4 linked regions of the Saccharomyces cerevisiae S288C genome follow. Changing the gene in region 1 together with any one later gene gives a genetic interaction. Each region holds a gene or a part of one and is shown in the gene's direction. Other genes may lie near its edges. The genes, in order: ATX1, DOG1, TIR3 and RTR2.

Region 1 (5,625 bases):
TTTCTGTCATAAATAACAAACTAACTAGACTAGTTGCCAAATCAGAAGTTACCAATTGGACACATTCCGGTAAAGAGATTCAGGATTTGTTAATGAACAAACAATTATACTACAATTTATTACTAGATAAAGTTCTTGAATCGCATATTAGTGAGATAAGAAGTATATTTGAAGATCCAAAAAAGAGCTGGCAAAATTTGGAAGTAGTTGAGCTCACTACTAGCAATACTAATACGATGAGCGAAAAAATTGGAAAAAATGATTCAGATGTACAGAACGAAAAAGAACTCCATAATGCCGTATCCAAAGATGATGATTGGAATTGGGAAGTAGAGGATGATGATGCCGATGCATGGGGTGATGAAATTGATGTAAATATTGACGACGAGGAAGAAAAAACAAATCAAGAGAAGGAAAAAGAACCAGAAGAAGAAGAAAATGCCTGGGATGAAGCCTGGGCAATTGACGAAAATATAGATGATGCTTCCCTAGAAAATGGAAAGGAACATTTAAAAGCTCATGATGTAGGATCACTTGATAAAGACCACATTGAAGTTACACAGTTACCAAAATTGTTCTTGGCAATTTCACAGAATTTCAAGAGTAGCTTTGCAGATAGCCATGTTGATGAGCAATACTTTGCGTACAAATACAACCTTTTGCAGACATCGTATATGGCCATGTGCACAGCTAATTTTTCTCACAATTGGTGCCAATTATATGTGGATATGAGATATCTAATAGAACGAGATGAAAAGCTGTATAGAATAAAAGAATTAACAAGGAACCTGCTGGAAACTAAACTGAACATGAAATATCGTATTGTCTGTCAACTAATCAGGCATCAATTGACCGAATTTCGTGAGAACGAGAGAAATCCATCGTGGGACGCCACCATTGAGAAACTGCTACCTTATATCTTGAAGGAAATTGTTCGTCCACTGCAGAAAATAAGAGGTGAAGAAGGTTCCCGTTACTTGTTGTCTTTCTTAAACTTTTTATATAACGATTGCGTGACAAAGGAAATATTAAAATGGCAGATTATCTCTGAGGTCAATTCCGAAAATTTGGGTGAGCTCGTATCTTTATTAGTGAACAACACCGATATACAATTATTAGCGAAGGAACCAAGTTACAAAAAGATGAGAGAAAAATTCGCCACTATGGGCAAGTTTCTACCATTACATTTAAAGGAGATTATGGAGATGTTTTACAATGGGGATTTTTATCTTTTTGCGACAGACGAACTAATCCAATGGATAGAGTTATTGTTTGCCGACACTCCCCTGCGAAGGAATGCCATTGATGATATTTACGAAATTAGAGGCACTGCTCTAGATGATTAAAAAATAATTAATCGTAGGATAGGTTACATGATCATTGCAATAGATGTACATCTTGTATTACGTATGCGTAAGTTGTCTTTTTTTCAGTTTTCTAATAAATTTCACGTGATGCGGTAGTTTTTTTTGGGGGTGCAAAGTTGGCACATCTTGTAGTGCATTTTTGAGCTTCTTAAATGACTTGAATCATCTTAAAACATTGCAGGATGAGATTTCCAACGACACAAGAGAGAACTAGCGCAAAAGATGGCAGAGATAAAACATTATCAATTCAATGTCGTCATGACCTGCTCGGGATGTTCTGGTGCAGTCAATAAAGTTTTGACGAAATTAGAACCAGACGTTTCCAAAATAGATATATCCCTTGAAAAGCAATTAGTAGATGTATATACTACACTTCCTTACGATTTTATTTTAGAAAAGATTAAGAAAACCGGAAAGGAAGTTAGATCTGGCAAACAATTGTGAATGAAAGTGAAGAGAAATAGTTTTTTACTCTATTTTGTATTGTAGCTACTTAAGTAAATGATTAATATTCTCAATAGGATGCTTACGAAGAAAAAAGTCTTTTTTTATTGTTTTATTGTTTTATTCTTTGTTGGCTATGTAGCCATTTGCCTTTTCAGTATAATCTTACTAATATAAAAATCTCAATCATGGTGAGAAATCGTTTTATAAGAAAAATGAAAAAAAACTTGTTTAAATCAAATCACTTATCATATTTGAAGAGTAAATGGAAAGTAAAGATCACTGGACAAATAAAAATGGATTTTGATAATTTACTAAACCTAGAAGAACAGTATTACCAAGAAGGTTTTCTGGAGGGCCAGAATGAGAATATAAAGCAGAGCTTTCTAGAAGGTAAACAGTATGGTTTACAAGTGGGATTCCAAAGATTTACGCTCCTGGGACAAATGGAAGGTTTGTGTGATGTTATAGAATCGTATGGATTGCATAGTCCAACACTAGAAAAGAATATACATACCATTCGTACTTTAATGAAAGGTTTGAAAATGAATAACGATGATGAAAGTGTGATGGAATTTGAGAGGGTGTTAATAAAATTGAAAAATAAGTTTAGAACCATTCTAATAACTCTTCATCGATTAGTTAAAGATAAAAGAACCCCCACCGTGACATTTGAAGTCTTTGAAGACGTTTCAAGGGCCATTGCCGGAGAAATTAGAGGTTTTGTAGAAAATGAAGACATCGCAAAGAATAAGACAAAACAAAATCAGGCTCAATCCTGGTAAGAATACCAAGTGAAGAACATTATCGCCGGCCGCCAAAAAGAGCAACTAAACTAACAATTTTGCGCCGTTCAGTCTCCTCATTCATTGTTTTTCCATACAGTAGGGCGCTTTTAATAGTTTCTAGTGGACTGAATTAATAACGGTTATACGTATTAATCTTTGATTACCATATCCAAGAAACAGAGCGTAGAGCGTGGGAACAAAAAATACAAGGTTTACTTGATAATTGTTCATTCTATCCCACTATGTATAAATATTTATATAACGTAGTTGTTGTTTCGAACGTATCCTGCCCTCTGGATACCTTCCAGGGAGATAATCATTCGTGAATATCGCTGAAGTAATCGCTGATATTGAAATGAACAGATTCTGATATTTCTTTAATAATTTCCCAGGGAACGTTTACTTTCCACCTGACTTTAGGACTCAAATAGTCGATATTCTTGTTCATGGTTGTAGCTATTAATTTCAATGTATGCAATTCGGATAAATTTTGAAAAACCTCGATATTCGCTTTCATTAAGGATTCCTCACGAAGTGCAGATAGGGAACCACTCTCCGCCTTACCTTGAATAGGGAATATAGCTTGGAAAATAGCCAAAAGTCTTTCAATAGCAAATAAAGAAGGCTGTAAATATCTAGGGTTAACTTCTTTCTTCTTTCTTCGTCCATAAGCAGCTCTACCTTGTATGATACGTGTTTTCCTAGAGAAAATACTCGCATCGTATCTAGGTTCCAGATATGAACAAATATATGAGGCTATGAGCAGATACTTCGAAATTATTGATAAGTCGTAAGTTTGACTGTTCTCAAGGTCATCACGATTTGTGGTTATCGCGCTTTCACCTTGTCCATTTTCACTTAAATTATCATCTGTGCTTAAAAATAGTTTGATGGCACTTTTGTAAAGAGCCAGTGGTTCAAATATGTTTTCCTTAGTAATGCGAGATACATACTTGGGCCATTTGAAGTCTATCAAGTCATTCAATGCGAATATGTCGTTTCCAGTATAAGAATGAAAAGCCTGCACAATTAAGTGAATGAAGTTCGCAGCTACATTTTGAAATTGATCGTCTGTACAGTCCGTTATCTGCTCTTCAATGATACGCTTACGTAGACAAGAATCTTCCATGAGTTCGCCACATCTAGACATCACTAATATAGTAGAAACTTCGTCCACATTATACCTCGGAAACATAACAGTTGGAATGCAATGTGTAGAATATCTTTGCAAAAATGATGTCTCTAACATCGTGTAAATGAATTTTATATTAATTTTAGAATCTTTTGGAAGTAATTCATTTAGTTTGATATATTTGTTAAACAGTGCGGCGTCTAAATCTTGTAAACTATCGAAACCATCCAATATCAAGAACAAGCAAGTCTTTTCTTGCAAAGATTCATATTGGACAAAAATATTGTGCAACGTCTTTACCAAAAGAAATGGCTCTTCAACCTGTAAAGGATCGTAATCTGTGGTGGGAATGTTTGGATATAGGGTTTTCAATTTATATTGTACAGTACGTGCTATCGCCTGCAGTAAGGGCTTCCAAGAAACCAACTCAACAGGTTCCAGCCATACTGCATGCAAATTTGGATTCGCATTAAAATACTTCTTCAAAGTGTAGGTTTTTCCTGTTCCACTATAACCTTGCAAGATTAAATTTGAAGGAGTTATGTCTGGATCAGCAGAAATATACGATGCGAGACAGTTGGTTTGATATTCCCTAAAAGCAACTTCCGGAGTGGTCACATTCATTTTATTTCCAAAAGTATTAAGAAGAAAATAAAAGAAAAGTACTTGTGATTTAAATATCAAAGAAGAGTGTTAATTATGTTCAAGGGCTAATTTTTCGGTTATTTATATTTATATGTTCAGAAACGAATTGAAAATACTCTTTTTCCTTACCTTTTTTTTTTTTTTTTTTTTTTTTTCATGGTAAAGAGGCCATTGAACCTCGCGTTATATACTGCTTACTCATATGGTCAAATCAGCAATACAACTCAATAATATATCAAAACCGTAATACTTGGCTACTTGCTTAAACACATTTAACTTTTGAACAATGCTTTCTCTGGGGAGAGTTCCTTCCCACGCGCCGGCACATGGACAGTGGGCACTCATATAGTCACGTTTCACTTTATGACATCTGGAGCATCTCAAATCTTGAATTAAATAGGATTCGATATCAGAACGTAGTTTTTGAATCAGGTGTTCTTGCAACAATACTTGATTAAAGGCTTTGTGACATCTGACGCATGAAAAAATAGATTCAGGAGCTGCCTTACAAAAGTCAATATCAGAAATGAAAAAACAGTATTCACATAAAAAATCCGGCACCACGAGACTCAAACTTGGATCTTTGAATTCCGCTACTTTAGCAAACTCACGCAATTCAAATATCTTCAGCAGTTCTTTTCTCAGGGTCCTGATTTCTAAAATTGTACTCTTTGAAAGTAACATGACATGGCAGAGTGATTTGACAAGTTCTAGAAGGGGATTTTTCACATTCAGATGGGAACCAGGAAGAACAGGAATAACATAGTCTGCCTCATACTGAGGATCTAAAATGAACTCTTGCTGGTTTTTAAAAAGCTTTTTGACTCTTTTCATTAGTGGTTTGGAAAAAAGGTGAGAAAATCCGTTCAACGAGTTTTCAACACTATCTTCCTTATCTTGTTTTTTTACATTAACTATTTGGGTAGGTCTTTGCGTCCCTGAATTCAATTTTAGATAGCTCTGCTTTGTCTTTAGCATACTATCCAATATGATCATCATCCAATCCTCAAATTCGGGCTGATATATTGGTGACAGAAACTTCTTTAGTTGCCATTGCGAAACAGCGGTATAATCCTGATTTTCCTTTTCCTCTATTTCAATACATGCTAATCCACTAAAATTAAACTTATCCATCCATATTAGCAGATCCCAATAACGTTTGATATTTAAGTCCAGATAACTAAACATTGGATTTGTTCTAACTGCCTTCATCATATATTGGCTGTAGGCGTAACAGTTTTCAGGTGAG
Region 2 (6,493 bases), on another chromosome or scaffold:
ATGATCAATAGCTTTTTTTTTTCACGAGCACCTACAACACAAATATATACATATGCCAATGAGTCAAAACCACGTGTAATTAATAAAGAGATTACTACTTGCTTATGTAGAAATATAGTAGCTAGCAGAAAATGAATCTGATAACATCTTCATTGACACATTTCCAAGTATAGAGAACTTTCTTCTGCTTCCTTTCGGAAGAACTGAGTGAATATTGACTGGCGTGCGTCATAGCGAGATTTTTTCATCTGATGATGTATGGAAAAAAAAAAAAAACTTTTTTTTGAATAATGGATGCATCGAGTGACTTTCATTGTTGCGCACGTTGCTTTTCCAAAAATGGTATTAATATAGGTCTTTTATCTCTTACTTCACATTTAACTGCTTGTTAAATAACCCCAGTGTTTTCTTTTTTTTGGATGAATAAGGAAATCAACAGCTGGTACACGCATATACACATATACCATGACCATTGATCTAGCTTCTATCGAGAAATTCCTCTGTGAACTGGCTACTGAAAAAGTAGGACCAATCATCAAATCCAAGTCCGGCACTCAAAAGGATTATGACTTGAAGACTGGCTCCAGGAGCGTTGATATTGTAACTGCTATCGATAAACAGGTCGAAAAGTTAATTTGGGAATCGGTAAAAACCCAATATCCAACTTTCAAGTTTATTGGAGAGGAAAGTTATGTGAAAGGGGAGACCGTGATTACTGATGATCCTACCTTTATTATTGATCCAATTGATGGGACTACAAACTTTGTTCATGATTTCCCATTTAGCTGTACCTCTCTTGGGCTCACAGTAAACAAAGAGCCCGTAGTAGGCGTTATATATAATCCTCACATTAATCTTCTGGTATCCGCTTCTAAAGGAAATGGGATGAGAGTTAACAACAAGGACTATGACTATAAATCAAAATTGGAATCTATGGGTTCTCTAATACTAAATAAATCCGTAGTGGCATTACAGCCAGGTTCCGCTAGAGAGGGAAAGAATTTTCAGACAAAAATGGCCACATATGAAAAATTACTATCATGTGATTACGGTTTTGTTCATGGATTCAGAAATTTAGGATCATCTGCAATGACAATGGCATATATTGCTATGGGGTACCTTGATAGTTATTGGGATGGTGGTTGCTATTCGTGGGACGTGTGTGCTGGATGGTGTATTTTGAAAGAAGTGGGCGGTCGTGTAGTAGGTGCCAATCCAGGTGAATGGAGTATTGATGTCGACAATAGGACATATTTGGCTGTGAGGGGAACAATTAATAACGAAAGTGACGAACAAACAAAATATATCACAGACTTTTGGAACTGTGTTGATGGCCATTTGAAATATGACTGATCGTCAGCACATTAGGCCTAATATAAAATGTACGATTAAAATGACAGTTATTTGAATCATTTTAGCTGATCACAGGGATATAGAAGGTATTGGTAGTAATAATAATAATGATAATAATAATAATGATAATAATAAATAATAAATAATAAAGCGATAGATAATGCTCATTGATTATAGATGTATAAGCAACCGTCTTGGCCAAATAGTCCAAAAACGCCAACTAGAGGCATCCATCCTTCACCTCCTCCAAACCTTTCAGCTAAATGCAAAGCTTTCTCTAAACGATCGGACTCTACTGGTTTACCTATGCTAAAACCACGAATACATAACATACCCTGCTTCTTCTCTATGTTCAAATGAGGGTTTGTTTCCGTTTCTACCATTTTTCCTTCTAATGTTGTACTTAGTGTTCCATAACATACAACGTTATCGTCCACAGATTTTCCAAAAACCCTATAGTCATAAAAATTGGTATGTGCCACAGGTCCCATGATAGCGTAGGGACAATATAACTCGAGGACTACACGGGATCCTAATTGAGCTCTTATTTTATTCAATTGTTCAGTGCTTGGGGTGATTCTTCGGTTAGTCTTTTTTAGCTGAGGAATTTTTTCAGGAAATGTCGAAATAACCTCAGCATCTTTCACATTATCTGCCAAATAAACACATCTTAATTTTTCAAGAGAATGTGGCTCGATTCTGGCAATTTTCGTAAAAATACCCTCGCTCAGTAAGTTCGTGGCCCAGGATAAGTAGATTTTATTCAGCAGCCCACTTCTAGAATTAGAATCAATTAATTTGACAACATCCTTTGTTTCGGTAAACAGTAACGTAGTTTCTTGCAACGACTCGCAATCTATCGTTGTAGGATTGATGAAAGATGCAGACCCACCATGCAGCAAAACTGCAAAAAGCTTTCCCCAAATTTGTAGGCTTGCACTAGAATTTGCCAATTTTGTCGAAATGGTTAGGTATTCATTACTATTCAATTCATTTCCCAAGGGGAACCCTTTGATGAATTCCGCTATATTACTCACCAGACAGATTTGATTAAAACTATTAGTTCCATTCCATGGTGAAGTTACGTATGCAAAAAGTTTCTTATCATCAGAGTTGTCATCTGGCGGGGTGTATTGGTACTCTGTATCCTTGGTAAAACCGTCGATAAGTTCTTTCCAAGTGATAACATCACAGTTCGCATCAAATTGTAGTGATTCGATAGGATCATCGCAAACAACAATAAGCTTGTACCAATCCTCGCTGCCGTTTAGCATCTTAAAAGACTTCCATGAGTCGATGATCAGGACATCAACATCTTCTAGTCGTTGTCTAGGAACAGCTGGCAAGAAATGAGGTATTGAACCTGTTCTTATAGAGGTCATCATGGAAGCCAAGGAGAGAGTAAAACCCTCTACGGTAGCAATAGAATTAGCTATACCGATATTTTTGAAATTCTTATTGGAAAGTTTCGGAAATATGCGCTTGGCCATACCATTAAGTTCACTCAACGAATAACTTTTTTCTCTTCCTGTAAATTTAATTATGTTTTTTCCCTTGGAAACTTCCATTATGGCATTCCAAACATCACCGAAATTGCCATTTCTTATTTTGTATTTTAAAGATAGCCCTAATCCTGTCGTCAATGGGAATCCTGTGGGCACTAAAATGCTTCGATAATATGCTGTTTCATTTTCTTTACGAACACTGGATATGCTAGATTGCTGTGACAAAGCCACCCCTGTTAAATCTCTCTTAAAATCAAGTAGAAAAGAGCTTAGCAACCAGTTGGCGCCCAGCACAATTAACAATATTGTTATTACCAGCTGTAGTAGAAAAGACCAATTCATTGCTCATCAACTTTTGCCGCTTGTTTAACTGTCTTTCTTTCTAACGAAAGAACTTTCTATAGCTTAATTGAAAAGCACTTGAAATGCTTAAAACTTAACCTATGTTGAAGCTATAAAGGTGTTGCAGAATGATTTCCATTCAATGTACTTCTCGAAGTTGCTGTCGTTTATGATACGATACATATTAGAACTTTTTCATTCTTAACGACGCGCAAAGAAAAACGAAAAGCTAATGACCAAACCAAGGGTCCTAGGATTCTCATTAACATCAATTCAAGGCAATCAGTTACAATATTTATAATAAAGTAATTCGTGCTATGTATCCTTTTGCCAAGTAACTTGCCAGAAATTCCGTTTATCTACTTCATCTTATCGGTGAAAAAATATACACTGGGCTCTTCTACACACGCCTTCTACCGCATATCCTTTAGAGTCTTGGCTTCTTGTAATTTTCAATCACGGTTATGTTCCGTGATACAGACACGTCAGAGTATTCCTATATATTCCGACATTAACCCCGACATTTCAAACAACCGTTGTTCAGCTATAGAAGGAAGCGTATATCTATGAGATTATAGGCTCTGGTACCATCTAATGATATAAATTTCATGGAACTTTTTTATTGCAAGTATTTTATTTAATTTTATTTTCATTTTTAATGATCGCGATTATTCTGTTGGAAATAACGTTCTGATGGAGATTGTTGGTTACGTTGCCACTCACGTAAGAAGTTCAAAGGATAATGGCAGAATTTTCAGCTGATCTATGTCTTTTTGACCTAGATGGTACCATAGTGAGTACAACAGTGGCCGCAGAGAAAGCATGGACCAAGTTGTGTTACGAATACGGTGTTGATCCTTCCGAGTTATTTAAGCATTCTCATGGTGCAAGAACACAAGAGGTTTTGAGAAGGTTTTTCCCTAAATTGGATGATACAGACAATAAAGGTGTTCTTGCTCTAGAAAAAGATATTGCCCATAGTTACTTGGACACAGTAAGCCTTATTCCTGGTGCAGAGAACTTACTGTTATCGTTAGATGTAGATACTGAGACTCAAAAAAAGTTACCTGAAAGGAAATGGGCTATCGTTACCTCTGGTTCTCCATATTTGGCATTTTCATGGTTCGAGACAATATTGAAAAATGTTGGAAAGCCCAAAGTTTTCATTACTGGGTTTGACGTGAAGAACGGTAAGCCTGATCCCGAGGGTTATTCAAGAGCTCGTGATTTATTGCGTCAAGATTTGCAATTAACTGGTAAACAGGATCTGAAGTATGTTGTCTTCGAAGATGCACCCGTGGGCATAAAGGCCGGCAAAGCAATGGGCGCCATTACTGTGGGTATAACATCCTCGTATGACAAGAGCGTTTTATTTGACGCAGGAGCAGATTATGTAGTCTGTGATTTGACACAGGTTTCCGTGGTTAAGAACAATGAAAACGGTATTGTCATCCAGGTAAACAACCCTTTGACAAGGGCCTGAGTAAACAAAAATGTGACAAAAGAACGAATATATATAGATGTAAAACATATGGACAAGCAAAAAGTCGAATTATGTATGTCATTTTAGGTACTGAAGAGGTAAGATTTTTTTTGAGTTTTTCTTCGAAGATGGTTGTGTGGTTATATGTTAATCTTCCTTAGCGCAAAACACTTCCATCAACTGTATTTCGTTGGAATGCTTTGTATTCAGTTTTGTATCATTATCTTTAATCACAATTGCGTCAGGATGTAAGAACTACGTAATGATCTTATTATTTCTCGTAGAGAATAGTTCCGTAGATTGAATACGCTCCGTCATTATTTTTAAATGTGGGGAAGGGGTAATTCTCGAGGATTTTTCAAAAACTTAAAATGCGCTGGCAACATCTTCTTTGGTGAAAACAAATGCTAAAAGGAGACTAAGAGTACTTTTTGTTATTCACTATAGTATTAGCCAACACGTTATCGATACATTTACTGCTATATACATAAAAAATTTACGTCAAAAAAATAAAAAAAAAAAATGCCACAATTTTCAGTAGATCTTTGTCTTTTTGACCTAGATGGGACTATTGTCAGCACAACAACTGCAGCGGAAAGTGCCTGGAAAAAATTATGCCGTCAGCATGGGGTTGATCCTGTTGAGTTATTCAAGCATTCCCATGGTGCAAGATCACAAGAAATGATGAAGAAATTTTTTCCAAAATTGGACAATACCGATAATAAAGGTGTTCTTGCGTTAGAAAAGGATATGGCAGATAATTATTTGGACACAGTAAGCCTTATCCCTGGTGCAGAGAATTTATTGTTATCGTTAGATGTAGATACTGAGACTCAAAAAAAGTTACCTGAAAGGAAATGGGCTATCGTTACCTCTGGTTCTCCATATTTGGCATTTTCATGGTTCGAGACAATATTGAAAAATGTTGGAAAGCCCAAAGTTTTCATTACTGGATTTGACGTGAAGAACGGTAAGCCTGATCCCGAGGGTTACTCAAGAGCTCGTGATTTATTGCGTCAAGATTTGCAATTAACTGGTAAACAGGATCTGAAGTATGTTGTCTTTGAAGATGCACCCGTGGGCATAAAGGCCGGCAAAGCAATGGGCGCAATTACTGTGGGTATAACATCCTCGTATGATAAGAGCGTTTTATTTGACGCAGGTGCAGATTATGTGGTCTGTGATTTGACACAGGTTTCCGTGGTTAAGAACAATGAGAACGGTATCGTTATCCAGGTAAACAACCCTTTGACGAGAGATTAAATAAATAAGGACATCGCAGAAGCACGAATATATAGATAAAATTGTATGTAAAAGCAAAAGTTGAACTGCGTATGATTTCTTATAGTGAGTATGAAATTTTTTTTTTTTTTGGTTATCTAACTTATTTTTCTTTGATACAGATCGTGTGGTTGAACAACCGCGCCGAAGGCTTGATCAGTGGGCTGATTACCAGACATCTTCTTGGTATCTACCTGAAGTCTTGAGCATCTTGATTAGCTCTGTTGCTTCATCAGTGGTAATGGATTTACCACGGGATAAGATGCCAACCAATGCGGTTGACACACCCTTGGCCATACCCTTTGCATCACCACAGACGTAGATAAATGCACCGTTGTTAATCATTTCAAATACTTGGTCTTCGTAATCCTTTAATTTATCTTGAACATAAACTTTTTTGGTGTTTGGCAACCTGGAATGGGCCACGACCATTTCGAACGAACCATCCAATTTTTTGGCGTATTCTGGCCATTCGTCCTGGTACAAGAAATCATCAGTGTTACGGGATCCATAAAACAGTATATGCTTA
Region 3 (6,518 bases), on another chromosome or scaffold:
ATTGTTAACAGTTTCATCTGGATGTTTAATATTGTAATCAGTATCGTATTGATGCGAGACTGATGGAACAGAAGAGGATGAAGTGGAAAAATTGGCTATCGGGGTCTTGGGAGTACATACGCCATCGTTGTTGGTAATAGCGCTTTTATTATTCTTTTTTTGGCTATTCAGAAAGGGACAGTATCTTTTGAGATAGTTATTCCAGCGCAATAAATTTTCTCTAGTAAACAGAGGCGTGATATATTCCGCTGCTAGTAAAGAGCAAAATAGGAAGAAACACAGAAACCCAATGATAATACCGAAATTTCTCCACACGTGATGGTAAGTGTATTTCAATCCACTTTTTAAATAATCACGGCCTCTGACGTAATCGTTACCTAGGGTAGCGCCTTGCCAGGCACAAGCTTTATGACTGAATGAAATATTGTCATAATATTCACCTCTGGGAATAATACTTTCATGACAGTCTAGTTTCAGGTTAAACAATTCGTTACTCAAAATGGCTTCCATGGCAAACATAGCAGGATTCAAATATGCAATCCATATGAACCATGGATGCATATCTTTCATATAAATAACATAGGACGCGTACATGGCAATGGCTAACAGTAAGATACCGGCCAATAGGTTTGCCATTGATAGAGTTGGAGCGATCAAAGCAGTTAATGCAAATAGTGACACCATGCAAAAATTATAGACGGAAAGGAAAAGCAAAAAGATGAAAAACCTAGCTGCATTGTACTGTAAATGGGCCAAAAAGTAAAGTATGATTGTAAAAATAACCACCAGTATAAATTTAGAGCAGCAATCGAAAAAATTTGTTGCTAAAGTTTCCACCCAATTATAATAAAAATGGAGCTGGACATGTTTACGAACGACGGGTTGCCTTTGAAAGGAAGCAGGCATGTCGGCGAGAGAAAGAAATGTAAAGAATAGGATGGAAAAGAAAGTTAAAGATCCTCTAGAAAACGAACCAATTGTTGTCAGGGGAATGTTATAAAAAAGGGACCCAATAACCAAAGACTGCACCACAACAGAAACAAATTGAGAAATCAAGTAGTTTCTGTCACCAATGATTCTTTCGAAAGCTCTTACAGTGCACGTTTTCAGTTGCGTCTTTAGCGGAATACTAAAAATGGGGGAGATATCATCCGGATTAACATCTTTTCTGGTGCATTCTTGCACTGTTTTTGAAGTGATGGCCTTCCAGTGTTTATAGTATGGAGACTGAATCCATAATGTATGCAAATCTGTTTCATTATTGATGTTTAAAGCTTGATTTTCTTCAGAAACAACAGATGGAGTGTCAAGACCAACAATGGAATTAGACGTTTCCTTGAACTTAAAATTTAAGATTGATGTTAAATATTCAATAATACAATCGTTAGGGTTTTTTTTTATCTGTAAGGTGTCATGAAAATGGGTTAAACACTCCTCCATGGTTCCGTAAAACACCTGGAAGGAATCACCTAACATAAGAATCTTGTCAAACTTGCTGACAATTTTGTCGCTTGCTTGAGAAATTTTAACAAAATTCACCGATCTTGTAGCTTTTGCCATCTTTTGGGTAATGGAAAGAAATTCTAGGGCGGTGGCAGAGTCCAAACCCTTCGTCGAGTTGTCCCATAAGTAAACAGACCCATTGGCAATAAACGTTTCTATAATGGAGATACGTTTCCTTTCACCTCCAGAAACACCACGAACGTAGTCATTACCCACATACGTCTTCTTTACGTGCGACAGTCCGAACTCTTTTAATAACTCGTCTCTCATTTCAATACGCTCTTGCTTGGGAATGTGAAACTTACAACTCAACGCAAAATCAATGGTTTGCTCCACCGTCAGATACGGGAAGTGAATATCTTGTTCGTTATTATAAATGATCTGATGGGGGCATTTGGAAGCAAACTGTTTGTACTCATTGTCTTTGAATCTAATAGACCCTTCAGGCGAGTATTTCAGATGCTTGTGACCATGGAATAGACCTTTGAAGAGCGCTGATGTTGGGTTTCCCAGTACTAAGACGACTTCACCTTCATTAGCACGAAAAGTGATATCACTAATTTCTAAATGGCCTACGTTTTTGAATTCCGATGCGGACTCTTCATCGTTCTGAACAGCACCGAGGGATTCTTCCAATTGAACGGTAGCCCCATCAAAGGTGACTGAAGCGTCAGGAATTGGATTAAAATATTTGGAAAGAGACATCCGCGAGGCGTTGCTTCTCTAATTTTACTCTATCGTGTTTAGTTGTGAATTTTTTTGCTACAGTATGCAAGTTCTTTTTACCAACCCGTTTACGAACTAATGAGAAAAGGGTTTAAGTGTGTGATAATACTATTAATAGCTAAAAGAGCAGAGAGCTTTACGATGTTGTATGTTGTTTTATATAGGTGAGAGCAGGATCTGCGGAAAATACTTCGTACCGTAGTATCCATTTTGCCTATGGAGGAAAGCTTGTTTCCAAACCAGGAGATCCGCAGACAGGAAAAGTTCGAGGCCAAACAAAAACCGCAGCACAATGGAGTAAAAGTCGAAGGCACGGGCCCCAAACGATAGAGTGGAAGTTGTAGGAAACAAAAGTGGCCGTCTATGTGGCGCTTCTCTGCGGTGAATTCTGTGCGAAGTGCCTAAACGAAAACGGACGGAGAAGGCTGCGGGGGGATATCCCTTGCATAAAGGATGCCCGGCACTGTCCTAGACGGTGCCTTCCCTTAGAGACTAGGAGAGACTTGAGTAGGAGAAACTGAGCAGGAAAATTCGAGAGATAAAGTACATGTGCCTAGGTAAGCTGTACTTCGAACAGCTAATATTAGTAAGATGCATAAAGGGGCGTCAAAGTGGAAATATAACGACAGGAGAATCTCGGTGTGTAAGTTGGAATGTGTATTGCACCACTTCCATGATTGGGCTTTTTTCCTGGCGCAAAATGTTGCTTTTTCAACATTTTTCTTATACGCAGAGAGAGAATCGTCAGATAGGTGGTAAAACTTGGAGCCTAATTAGCTCATTATTTCATTTGAACGAGACATTGGCTTCTGCCCTACATCACCCATACGAGACATTGGCCTTATACGAGGCGTACTTCGCCTTGCGGGAAAAAAAATTTCTTTTGTAAGCGAGGTTACTCAGAAACTGTGACTGAAGGCAGAGGTTGGAAACGTGTGTAGACTCCAAATGGAACGATAGGAACGTGTACCCTACCGCTTCTGCACACGTTTCTTAGATATGCGTGCCTTAAGGCGACCCATTGTTCCTGTTTACCATGATTTCTGTAGGCTTTTTTTTAGAAGGCCCTAGAATGGATTGCAGATTTCCGTCTGAGAAGGCAGTATACGTACATATGAATATATATATACATATATTCTTTGGTGGAGAGTATAAGCGTTTCGTCTCCTCTTCCTTTCTCTACTGCAGATTTTCTTGCTGGTTGTTTGATTTTTTCTTTTTAGTGTTCCCCAGATCCAATTGTTCAACCGCCCACACACAACAATGTCTTTCACTAAAATCGCTGCCTTATTAGCTGTTGCCGCTGCCTCCACTCAATTGGTTTCTGCTGAAGTTGGACAATATGAAATCGTCGAATTTGACGCTATTTTGGCTGATGTCAAGGCCAATTTGGAACAATATATGTCCTTGGCAATGAATAATCCAGACTTTACCCTACCATCTGGTGTTTTGGATGTTTACCAACATATGACCACTGCTACTGATGATTCCTACACCAGTTATTTCACCGAAATGGACTTTGCTCAAATCACCACTGCCATGGTTCAAGTGCCTTGGTACTCTTCTAGACTGGAACCTGAAATCATCGCTGCTTTACAAAGCGCGGGTATCAGTATTACCTCCTTAGGTCAAACCGTTTCCGAATCTGGTTCCGAATCTGCCACTGCTTCCTCAGACGCTTCTTCTGCTTCTGAATCCTCTTCAGCTGCTTCTTCTTCTGCTTCTGAATCCTCTTCAGCTGCCTCCTCTTCTGCTTCTGAATCCTCTTCAGCTGCTTCTTCCTCTGCTTCAGAATCTTCTTCTGCTGCCTCCTCTTCTGCTTCTGAAGCTGCTAAGTCTTCTAGCTCTGCCAAGTCTTCTGGCTCTTCTGCTGCTTCATCTGCTGCTTCATCTGCTTCTTCCAAGGCCTCTTCTGCAGCTTCCTCTTCTGCAAAGGCCTCCTCTTCTGCAGAAAAATCTACTAATAGCTCCTCCTCTGCTACCTCCAAGAACGCTGGTGCAGCTATGGACATGGGCTTCTTCTCCGCTGGTGTTGGTGCCGCTATTGCCGGTGCCGCTGCTATGCTCTTATGATTGTCACTTATTAATGATAAATTATAAAATGTTATATGTAAAAAAACAAATATACACTTTTTGAATATTAGTATCCTATTTTAATATACTGTCTCCTAGATAATACAAACTTAATTTGCTTTCTCTTCACACTTTTTTCTTTACTCTTGTAATGTACACTTGGCTGTACATTAAAAAAAGGAATGTTCGAGCAAGAGCATGAAATCCACAGACGGCTGTGCCATGTAGCAGCCGTCGAGAAAAAAAAGATATAGAAAAGGGAAGAGAAATATCATTGTTATTACATCCACTGGATGAAGTAATACTACGAGCTTTATACAGGTAATATTAAAGTTCCTTAATAGAATGGGTGAAGCACTACGTAGATCAACCAGGATTGCAATATCCAAAAGAATGTTGGAAGAGGAAGAGTCCAAACTGGCCCCTATTTCGACACCGGAAGTGCCTAAGAAGAAAATCAAGACGGGTCCTAAACATAACGCTAATCAAGCAGTAGTTCAAGAGGCAAATAGGTCATCTGATGTTAACGAATTAGAGATAGGCGATCCTATTCCTGATTTGAGTCTTTTAAATGAAGATAATGACTCTATCTCCTTGAAGAAAATCACCGAAAATAACAGAGTTGTGGTGTTTTTTGTGTATCCCAGGGCAAGCACGCCTGGTTGTACTAGACAGGCCTGTGGATTTCGTGACAATTACCAGGAACTCAAGAAATATGCTGCTGTCTTTGGACTGAGTGCAGATTCTGTGACATCCCAGAAAAAGTTTCAGAGTAAACAAAATTTGCCATATCATTTACTAAGCGATCCAAAGAGAGAGTTTATTGGGTTGCTAGGAGCCAAAAAAACGCCACTTTCTGGTTCTATTAGATCGCATTTCATTTTTGTTGATGGGAAGTTAAAATTCAAAAGAGTTAAGATATCACCAGAAGTTAGTGTAAATGACGCCAAAAAGGAGGTTTTAGAAGTCGCTGAAAAGTTTAAAGAAGAATGAAGTTTAATAACCCCCTTTTTGTTTCTCTAGAGGAGTACTTATCGGTAAAATATTCCAAACCCTTCCCTTTATATATGTAGATAAACGAAGATATTCTAACTCTCTCACACTTATAAAATATCGAGCCTGCAGAAGGTCATAAATATTTATATACAAATGGGAAAGTACTTAACGATCCGACTTGATCAATATCAAATATCGTGGCCTGGTTTACATTGAGAACGGGCACTATTTCTTTGGACGAAATGTTGCTTAGGCAAATTTTGAAGTGAGACATTGCTCGAGAATTTGTTACGTAGACTAAGTCAGCATCGCCAATGATCATTAAGCAATTGGTCGTCTCAGATGTGATCCTGCAATTATGAGTCCTTTCAAAATTAGATACACACTCTTGGGAAAACTCAACTAAGTATTTGGTGTGAGGAATCTCTTATCGATGCGTATACCTTGTAGTCGCAAACGTTATAAAATTTTGTAATTTTGGCGAAATGGCACGGATTGGTTAAAATTGTCGGGCTCATATGCGGTAGCGCTAAGTCCTGCTTGGTCAAGCTAGGAATTACATGGCCAGAGGGATGATATTGATCATGCTCCGAGTTGTCTTCAATTAATGCCTTTATCCATGGTTGTAGAAAAACTGAGTCTGTTGGCTTTGAATGAGACTCCAGAATTACTTTCGGCATTGTTTACTTGTTATCCCGATTTGTACCCAGGATTTACAGCTTTTAATTCATTATCTATGGTCAACTTTTGCTGTCTAGTTTCATATTTACTCGCTACCGTTTCACCAACTGTAGTCATCAGTTATGGTAAAAAAATCTCCGCGACGGGGAATTGAACCCCGATCTGGCACGCGACAAGCGCCCATTCTGACCATTAAACTATCACGGATTTGTTTCTATGAAAATTTCGTTTATTTGTATAGTATATGTTTTTTTAAAATATAATGAGAATCTGGTAGAAAAGTGTTGATAACTAGCAGTTTAAAACGTATCATTTGTTGAAATAAGTACCAACTATCATCCGTCGACTAGTACTCACACAACTATTGAGAAATTCGTAAGTTTTGTAAAACTGTTGGATACCGTTGCTGTTGAAGGCTATAGTAATAGGCATACAAAATTAGCGGAAGTTTACCTTGGAAATATATCCACAAAAGGGAAACGATATTTCCTCATAATAATATTGTAATTTCTTTTTCTTTTTATATGTTTCATTATCCT
Region 4 (6,149 bases), on another chromosome or scaffold:
CTGTAGTCATACCTCGACAACATACCAACCTTTTACGGTGCTGTCAATCCCTATTCCTAAAAAAAATTCCCGAAATAATATTACCATTGAAGATTGTTTCAGAGAGTTCACCAAATGTGAGAACTTGGAAGTGGATGAGCAATGGTTGTGCCCACATTGTGAAAAAAGGCAGCCCTCCACGAAACAATTGACAATAACGAGATTACCGAGGAATCTGATAGTCCATTTAAAGAGATTTGATAATTTATTAAACAAAAATAATGACTTCGTCATATACCCTTTTTTGTTGGACTTGACTCCATTTTGGGCCAATGATTTTGACGGGGTTTTTCCTCCAGGTGTTAATGACGATGAACTACCAATAAGGGGACAAATACCACCTTTTAAGTATGAATTATATGGTGTAGCATGCCACTTTGGTACTTTGTATGGTGGTCATTATACAGCCTATGTGAAAAAGGGATTAAAGAAGGGATGGCTATATTTTGATGATACCAAATATAAACCTGTCAAAAACAAAGCCGATGCAATTAACTCTAATGCATACGTTTTGTTTTATCACCGCGTCTACGGTGTTTGATTCATTTGAATAAATAACTGAAAACCGTTGTCTATACACTTTTTTTCCCGTTCAACATGGCATATCATTATTTCCATCTAAGGTCAAAGTAAAAAACCCTAAATACAAATGATTTATTTTAACGGTAACAAACGAACTTTTTTTTAGAAGGTGTAAAGATGAGATCACGCCCAGATTTTGTCTTCCTCCTGTGCATCTCTTGGATTGATGATTTTCCTTTCTACCATAATACGTCATGAAAAGTATGTAAATATTTATAGCATTACATATATCTTTTATATGAAAAAAATCACTCATTCCCAGTCATCATCGTCGTCGTCGTCCTTGCTCTCATCCTTGTTGGCGAGGCCAACATGGTCACTAACATCTTTCAATCCCTCTTGAGACACAGCAACTTTCGTCTCCCCTTTAGATTTGTTGTCAGCTACTGCTTCTACTTTGTCATCATCTTCTTCTTCTTCTTCGTCATCCCACTCAACTTCTTTTTCCTCCGTTTCCTTTTCCTTTTTGGACAATATTTCTTTCCTTTTACTTTCTTTATCTAGAATTTTGTTTCTTTGTAAGAAATAGATGTGCCAGAAATCTTTATAGCTGATTTTATGGGGTACGATGTCGTTCATTAATTTGGAGATATCTTTGTCGCCCTGTAAAATAGAACATATCTCCTCAGTTTTTTCATCCACGTCAAACGGGTCCAGTTGCAAATCCATTTTATTGTCTAAATAAACCGATTTATCTTTAGATAATGTCCTTAGTTCGGCTTCTGTTCTATTTCCACCCACAGCAATTTCATTTTCTTTCGAATTCTCATCCTTGTCATTAGAGTCATTTTCTGCAGCATTATCGAAGCTACTGAAGCCAGACCAAAAATTCTTAGTTTTCATTTTGCTCCAATATGACTGGGCTAGACTTTCCACGCTGTGAATATTCTCGTCTAGTTTCTTCAAATACTTTTGTGCAGTCTCTGTAGTTTCATTGCTAATTGGCAAGTTAATTTCAATTCCGTCATCTTTCTCGATTACTAACTTTTTGAATGCACTTGTAGTCTTTTCATATCGTTTATTGACTTCCTCTTCTAACTTTTGGAAGGCCTCATTTGTTTTGTCATCTCGGCTCTGAAGTTCGTTATTTTCAGTGTTTTCTGTTGATCCAGTTTCCTTGGTATGAGAGTTGCTTATTTTATCATCTTCGATACAAGCTACTTGTTCTTCATAAAAGAATTCCATTTTATCCTAAAACGTCGAAGCAATGGAGCTCACTAGCTGTACCCTTATGTTGTGTTCTTTTTTTGTTGCATGACTTCTGCTAAGTGCTTTTTATCATTAATCACCGCTATTTGATGTAAGGCCAAAAAAAATGCGAAAGAAAAAAAGAGACTCTGTTAAGAAGGAAAGGAGTACCAATATAAACTATGGGTTCACAATTGCTATGAATACCCAGTTCACACATCTAGAATAAGCTATATGTATCAAAATGACACTAGTGACTCCGTTACAATTTTCGACTGTACAGCCAAATTTATATAGAGGATCTTACCCACGAGAAATCAATCTCCCATTCCTGAGAACCCTTAGATTGAAATACATATTATCTTTGACACCAGAACCTTTGAGCACTGATCCTCTAATGGTAAAGTTTTGTGAAGAAAATAACATTAAGACAATTCATATAAAATGTCAAAGTGAAAGAAAGGCAGACAAGACCAAACCCAAGATTAAAAGGAAAAAGAAAACAGTTCCTATTGAATACGATGTTGTAGTACGATGCGTTAAATTTCTGATTGATAAAGGGCATTACCCCTGTTATATGCACTGTACGAATGGTGAATTGATAATATCTCTCGTAGTAGCATGTATGAGAAAGTTTTCATATTGGAGTACGGTATCCATACTAAATGAGTTTTTGGTGTATAATTCCAGCATCAATATTCATGAAAGAAATTTCATTGAAAACTTTAACTCTGAAATCGAAGTTGACGATCTGGATATAAAGGATAAAGTTCCCTGGATTACCGTGCGATATATTGCAAGGACAGCCACAGAATCAAAAGATGAGTTGCGTGTTGATGATGCTAATGCGTCTGAAAAAGTTGCAAGAGTAAGTAGCGTGTCAAATTCTTTGCCAAAACTAAAATTTCATAGTATGTAAAATTCAGGGATAAATTCATATAATATTTTGTAAAGACAGAAGCTTCAGGGTTAAGTCTTAGCCGGGCCCTCCAGCATTGATAATCATTTTTTTCAATATCAAATGCCATTGAAAAGTCCAACGAAAATTACATCGACTTTACAAAAGAGACGAGCCGGTCACATTCTAGTATTGGCGAAGATTGGAAGCCATTTATCAACAGCAAGGAGGCATTCTGGAAAAATTGCAGCATATTTAAGAAAAGTGATAGGTTTATTTTTATACTAGAAGGACAGGAGCAACGCAAGCCATAATGCAGATAATAACCACTACGTTCATTCAAAAAGTAATTTTAGGATCACACCAATTACATGAGCAATTATCTATAGTGGAAGCCCGAATGATTGAATCTGCCATAGTTTCAATGCTCACAGAATCATTTTGCGAAAATGAGCAGACATTAAAATACTTAGCACGGCTACTTTCACCGATGTCTTATATGGATGTTATTAATGCAAGAAGGGGAAAGAAAATATGTGGGTACCCGCTATGCTATAAGAGTGCGGCAGAAAATTCATCTGATGGCTTCTTTATCCACTCAATGTATTGTAATAATTATCACAGTAAATGTTCGTTGTATTTAATGAGACAGTTATCACAAACGCCTCTGCATGAAAGGCGAGGCGTGCATTTAACTAGTTACATTAATCTAGAGTTTGATGATATGTACTCGGTAAGCCTTTTAGAAGAATTAGTTGGAAGTGAGGTACCTATAGATACCGTCAAATCGCTGATAACGAGTTTCAAGGATCTTGAGTTTGATGATACCTACAAGAATGAGCCTTTACCATTGGATGTGTACTTTGGACAGTTGACTACTGATGAGGAAACCTGTATAGAATAGGAAGTATAATTAAATCGTCTTCATCAGGATCCTTATCGCGGTCATACGAGTGACTATTTACATAGAAATGGAAGTAACCAGTAAATTTTCTATTAAACTTTCTGATTCACGCAACTTTTGCACTTAAAAACCGTATTTCGCCAAAACACTTGGCAAGTCCCTCCCTTCTATAAAGAGTGTCACATATGGTAATGTTTCTTTGCTCATTTTTCTGAATAGTGTCAACCGTTTGGCGTACATTTCTTTTGACTTTTTATCAAAATATGCTAGTTGGCCACCGTTCTTTAAAAGCTTTTCCTTATATTTGTTAAAGTACTCCACTCTTTGAAAACTTTTGGAATGTAATTCGAACATTATTTCTCTCACGGGATCTACCCATTCTTTAACTTTCTGATATTGACTCGAAGGATTACATTTAGTAGACTTTGGGATATTTGCAGCGTATTCCAAGTATTTCGGTAAGTTTACTTTAATAATCTTTTTCGACTCTAGATATTCCTCCCAAATGGCCTCATGTAATGCCCAAGCAGCATTAATTTCGCAAAAATTGAGATTATCGATATTTTTCTGAGAATCCTTCCTTTCTTTTCGTATCAATATTCCCAGCTTTTTCGATTGTTGTCTGCCCTTGTTAATTGGTGACCGAACAAACCATATTTGATTCCTTCCTTCTTTTGTATATGACAGCCCAGCAGAAGGTGGGCCATTTTTCAATTTTTGCTGAATATGAAATAGTTTCAGGCACGCATGTTCGTTCAATGCTAATGGTAATAGGAGTTTGTGCTGATACGTTTTTGGTATGTATGCAGGTAAAAGGCCCAAATCTTGTTTTCGCTTAATGTAAGCACTTAGAACATGAAATCTTCTTACTTCTTCTGGGTCGTTGGTCTTTACATCCCCTAATGAAGTCAAAGAGTTGAGGATTTTCGTTGTTTTCAGTTGTTTTTTCATCTTTTTTAATGGCTTCATTAAGTTTTTGATTTCTTGTAATTTACCTTCCAAAAGGCAATTGTTCAACAAACTGAATTCATTGAGTAAAGTATAAACACTCCAACTTGACTTGTCATGCTTGTGTTTGAACAATTGTATTGAAAGTGTTTTTTTTATTTCATATTGAAACGCATATGAGTGGCAACACTTTGGAATGTTTCTGAGAACGGTCCGATATAAGCTCAATACGTAAGACTTGTGAGAAGGAATCTTTCCAAAATTTTGAGCCATATTTTCTACTTGTTCATTACAAAAGTGTTAATCTGTTGCTTTCTCAGGCAGACTTGGTAACTGAAAACCTTAGGAAAGGCTGGGAGCAGCTTTGAAGTTAGAAACGGACACAAAAATTAGCAATAGTGAAATAAAATAAAATGCAACTTATCGTTTATAAAGAGATGTTTAAAAAATCAATTTTAGTTATACAAAATATACATATAAAATAATGAAATAAATGATTTAAACACTCTAGTTGACCAAAGCGGAGGCAGTGGCGGATTCGTACTTCCAGTTTGGTGGTAAGACAGCAACAGTTCTGTAGTATCTGGCCAATCTGTGAATTCTAGATTCGATCAAAATCAATCTGAACTTAGCGTCTTTGTCCTTTCTGTTTCTTTCCAAGTGCTTTCTAACAGAGACAGCCTTCTTAATCAAGTAGTACAAATCTTCTGGGATTTCTGGAGCCAAACCATTGGACTTCAAGATTCTCATGATCTTGTTACCAGTGATAACACGAGCTTGGGTAACACCGTGAGCATCTCTCAACAAGACACCAATTTGAGATGGAGTCAAACCCTTTCTCGCGTACTTGACAATTTGTTCAATGACAGATTCAGAGGACAACTTGAACCAAGCTGGAGCATTTCTAGAGTATGGAATAGCAGAAGAAGAAATACCTTTACCCTGTTTAAAGTAATATTTAGTGGAATTGGATATTCCAAAAAATTTATCGAATGTTAGTAACATGAAGATTCATATGGCTTGAAGAAAAGTGTATCATGACATATTTCCTCGTTCAGACCATACAATTCCATTAAAGTATAACTATTCCGGGTGATTCTTCAATCTTGGTTCTCCTCCGATAGGTTAACGTGTTATGTTATGAGCTTTGTGAAAACTAATTCATAAAGGCGGCTAGCCATCAGTAATTTTCCGGCGTAAATTATACTGAGAAACGGCAGATAGTATAACCTGTTAAACTAATGCAACATATTTGTAAAAGAAATTGGAATCACCCAGCTAATGTACAGCGAGTAGAAACTACTCTCCAGTATAAACTATACCTGTGTACACACCGGAACTTGTAATAGAATTGTGATCCGACAGAGACAAATTATATTAGAAATCCACTTTTGAATTCCACATTAGAGTGTCATCTGATTTAGCGAACTATTCAATGCAACTTTTGCATTAATATCTCGCTATGGTGTTAATAAACATACGGCACTGTGCATACGACCCATTTTGACTGATTGTTGTTGATTGATTTAGTGGTTAACCGTTTAGAATAAATATTAATGAGAAAGAAATTGTTAATTCAATCACGACTGT

What was found.
Region 2: mutations in ATX1 (region 1) and DOG1 together harm fitness more than expected from each alone (negative genetic interaction), as found in Saccharomyces cerevisiae (one large-scale study listed by BioGRID).
Region 3: mutations in ATX1 (region 1) and TIR3 together harm fitness more than expected from each alone (negative genetic interaction), as found in Saccharomyces cerevisiae (one large-scale study listed by BioGRID).
Region 4: mutations in ATX1 (region 1) and RTR2 together harm fitness more than expected from each alone (negative genetic interaction), as found in Saccharomyces cerevisiae (one large-scale study listed by BioGRID).

Annotation. Positions count from the first base shown.
Region 1 is NC_001146.8:153,830-159,454, reverse strand, and holds ATX1 (copper metallochaperone ATX1), read left to right. Parts: upstream 1-1,589; coding exon 1,590-1,811; downstream 1,812-5,625. Other genes in the region: DSL1 (Dsl1p), read left to right, coding at 1-1,346; ribosome biosynthesis protein LTO1, read left to right, coding at 2,108-2,596; ORC5 (origin recognition complex subunit 5), read right to left, coding at 2,916-4,355; POL2 (DNA polymerase epsilon catalytic subunit), read right to left, coding at 4,575-5,625. UniProt on the Saccharomyces cerevisiae protein: Copper homeostasis factor that specifically transports copper to the secretory pathway for incorporation into copper enzymes destined for the cell surface or extracellular milieu.
Region 2 is NC_001140.6:192,258-198,750, reverse strand, and holds DOG1 (2-deoxyglucose-6-phosphatase), read left to right. Parts: upstream 1-3,942; coding exon 3,943-4,683; downstream 4,684-6,493. Other genes in the region: AAP1 (arginine/alanine aminopeptidase), read left to right, coding at 1-11; inositol monophosphate 1-phosphatase INM1, read left to right, coding at 466-1,353; DDE1 (Dde1p), read right to left, coding at 1,518-3,200; DOG2 (2-deoxyglucose-6-phosphatase), read left to right, coding at 5,206-5,946; NCP1 (NADPH--hemoprotein reductase), read right to left, coding at 6,133-6,493. UniProt on the Saccharomyces cerevisiae protein: Phosphatase that is active on 2-deoxy-D-glucose 6-phosphate (2-DOG-6P), as well as on fructose-1-P.
Region 3 is NC_001141.2:330,235-336,752, forward strand, and holds TIR3 (Tir3p), read left to right. Parts: upstream 1-3,492; coding exon 3,493-4,302; downstream 4,303-6,518. Other genes in the region: ATP-binding cassette multidrug transporter PDR11, read right to left, coding at 1-2,208; YIL012W (uncharacterized protein), read left to right, coding at 2,777-3,118; thioredoxin peroxidase DOT5, read left to right, coding at 4,648-5,295. UniProt on the Saccharomyces cerevisiae protein: Component of the cell wall. Required for anaerobic growth.
Region 4 is NC_001136.10:579,370-585,518, reverse strand, and holds RTR2 (putative protein-serine/threonine phosphatase), read left to right. Parts: upstream 1-3,020; coding exon 3,021-3,611; downstream 3,612-6,149. Other genes in the region: ubiquitin-specific protease DOA4, read left to right, coding at 1-580; DOS2 (Dos2p), read right to left, coding at 874-1,806; OCA6 (protein-tyrosine-phosphatase), read left to right, coding at 2,054-2,728; RRG1 (Rrg1p), read right to left, coding at 3,735-4,832; 40S ribosomal protein uS15 RPS13, read right to left, coding at 5,067-5,501, 6,041-6,061. UniProt on the Saccharomyces cerevisiae protein: Probable RNA polymerase II subunit B1 C-terminal domain (CTD) phosphatase that regulates RNA polymerase II transcription. May have functional redundancy with RTR1.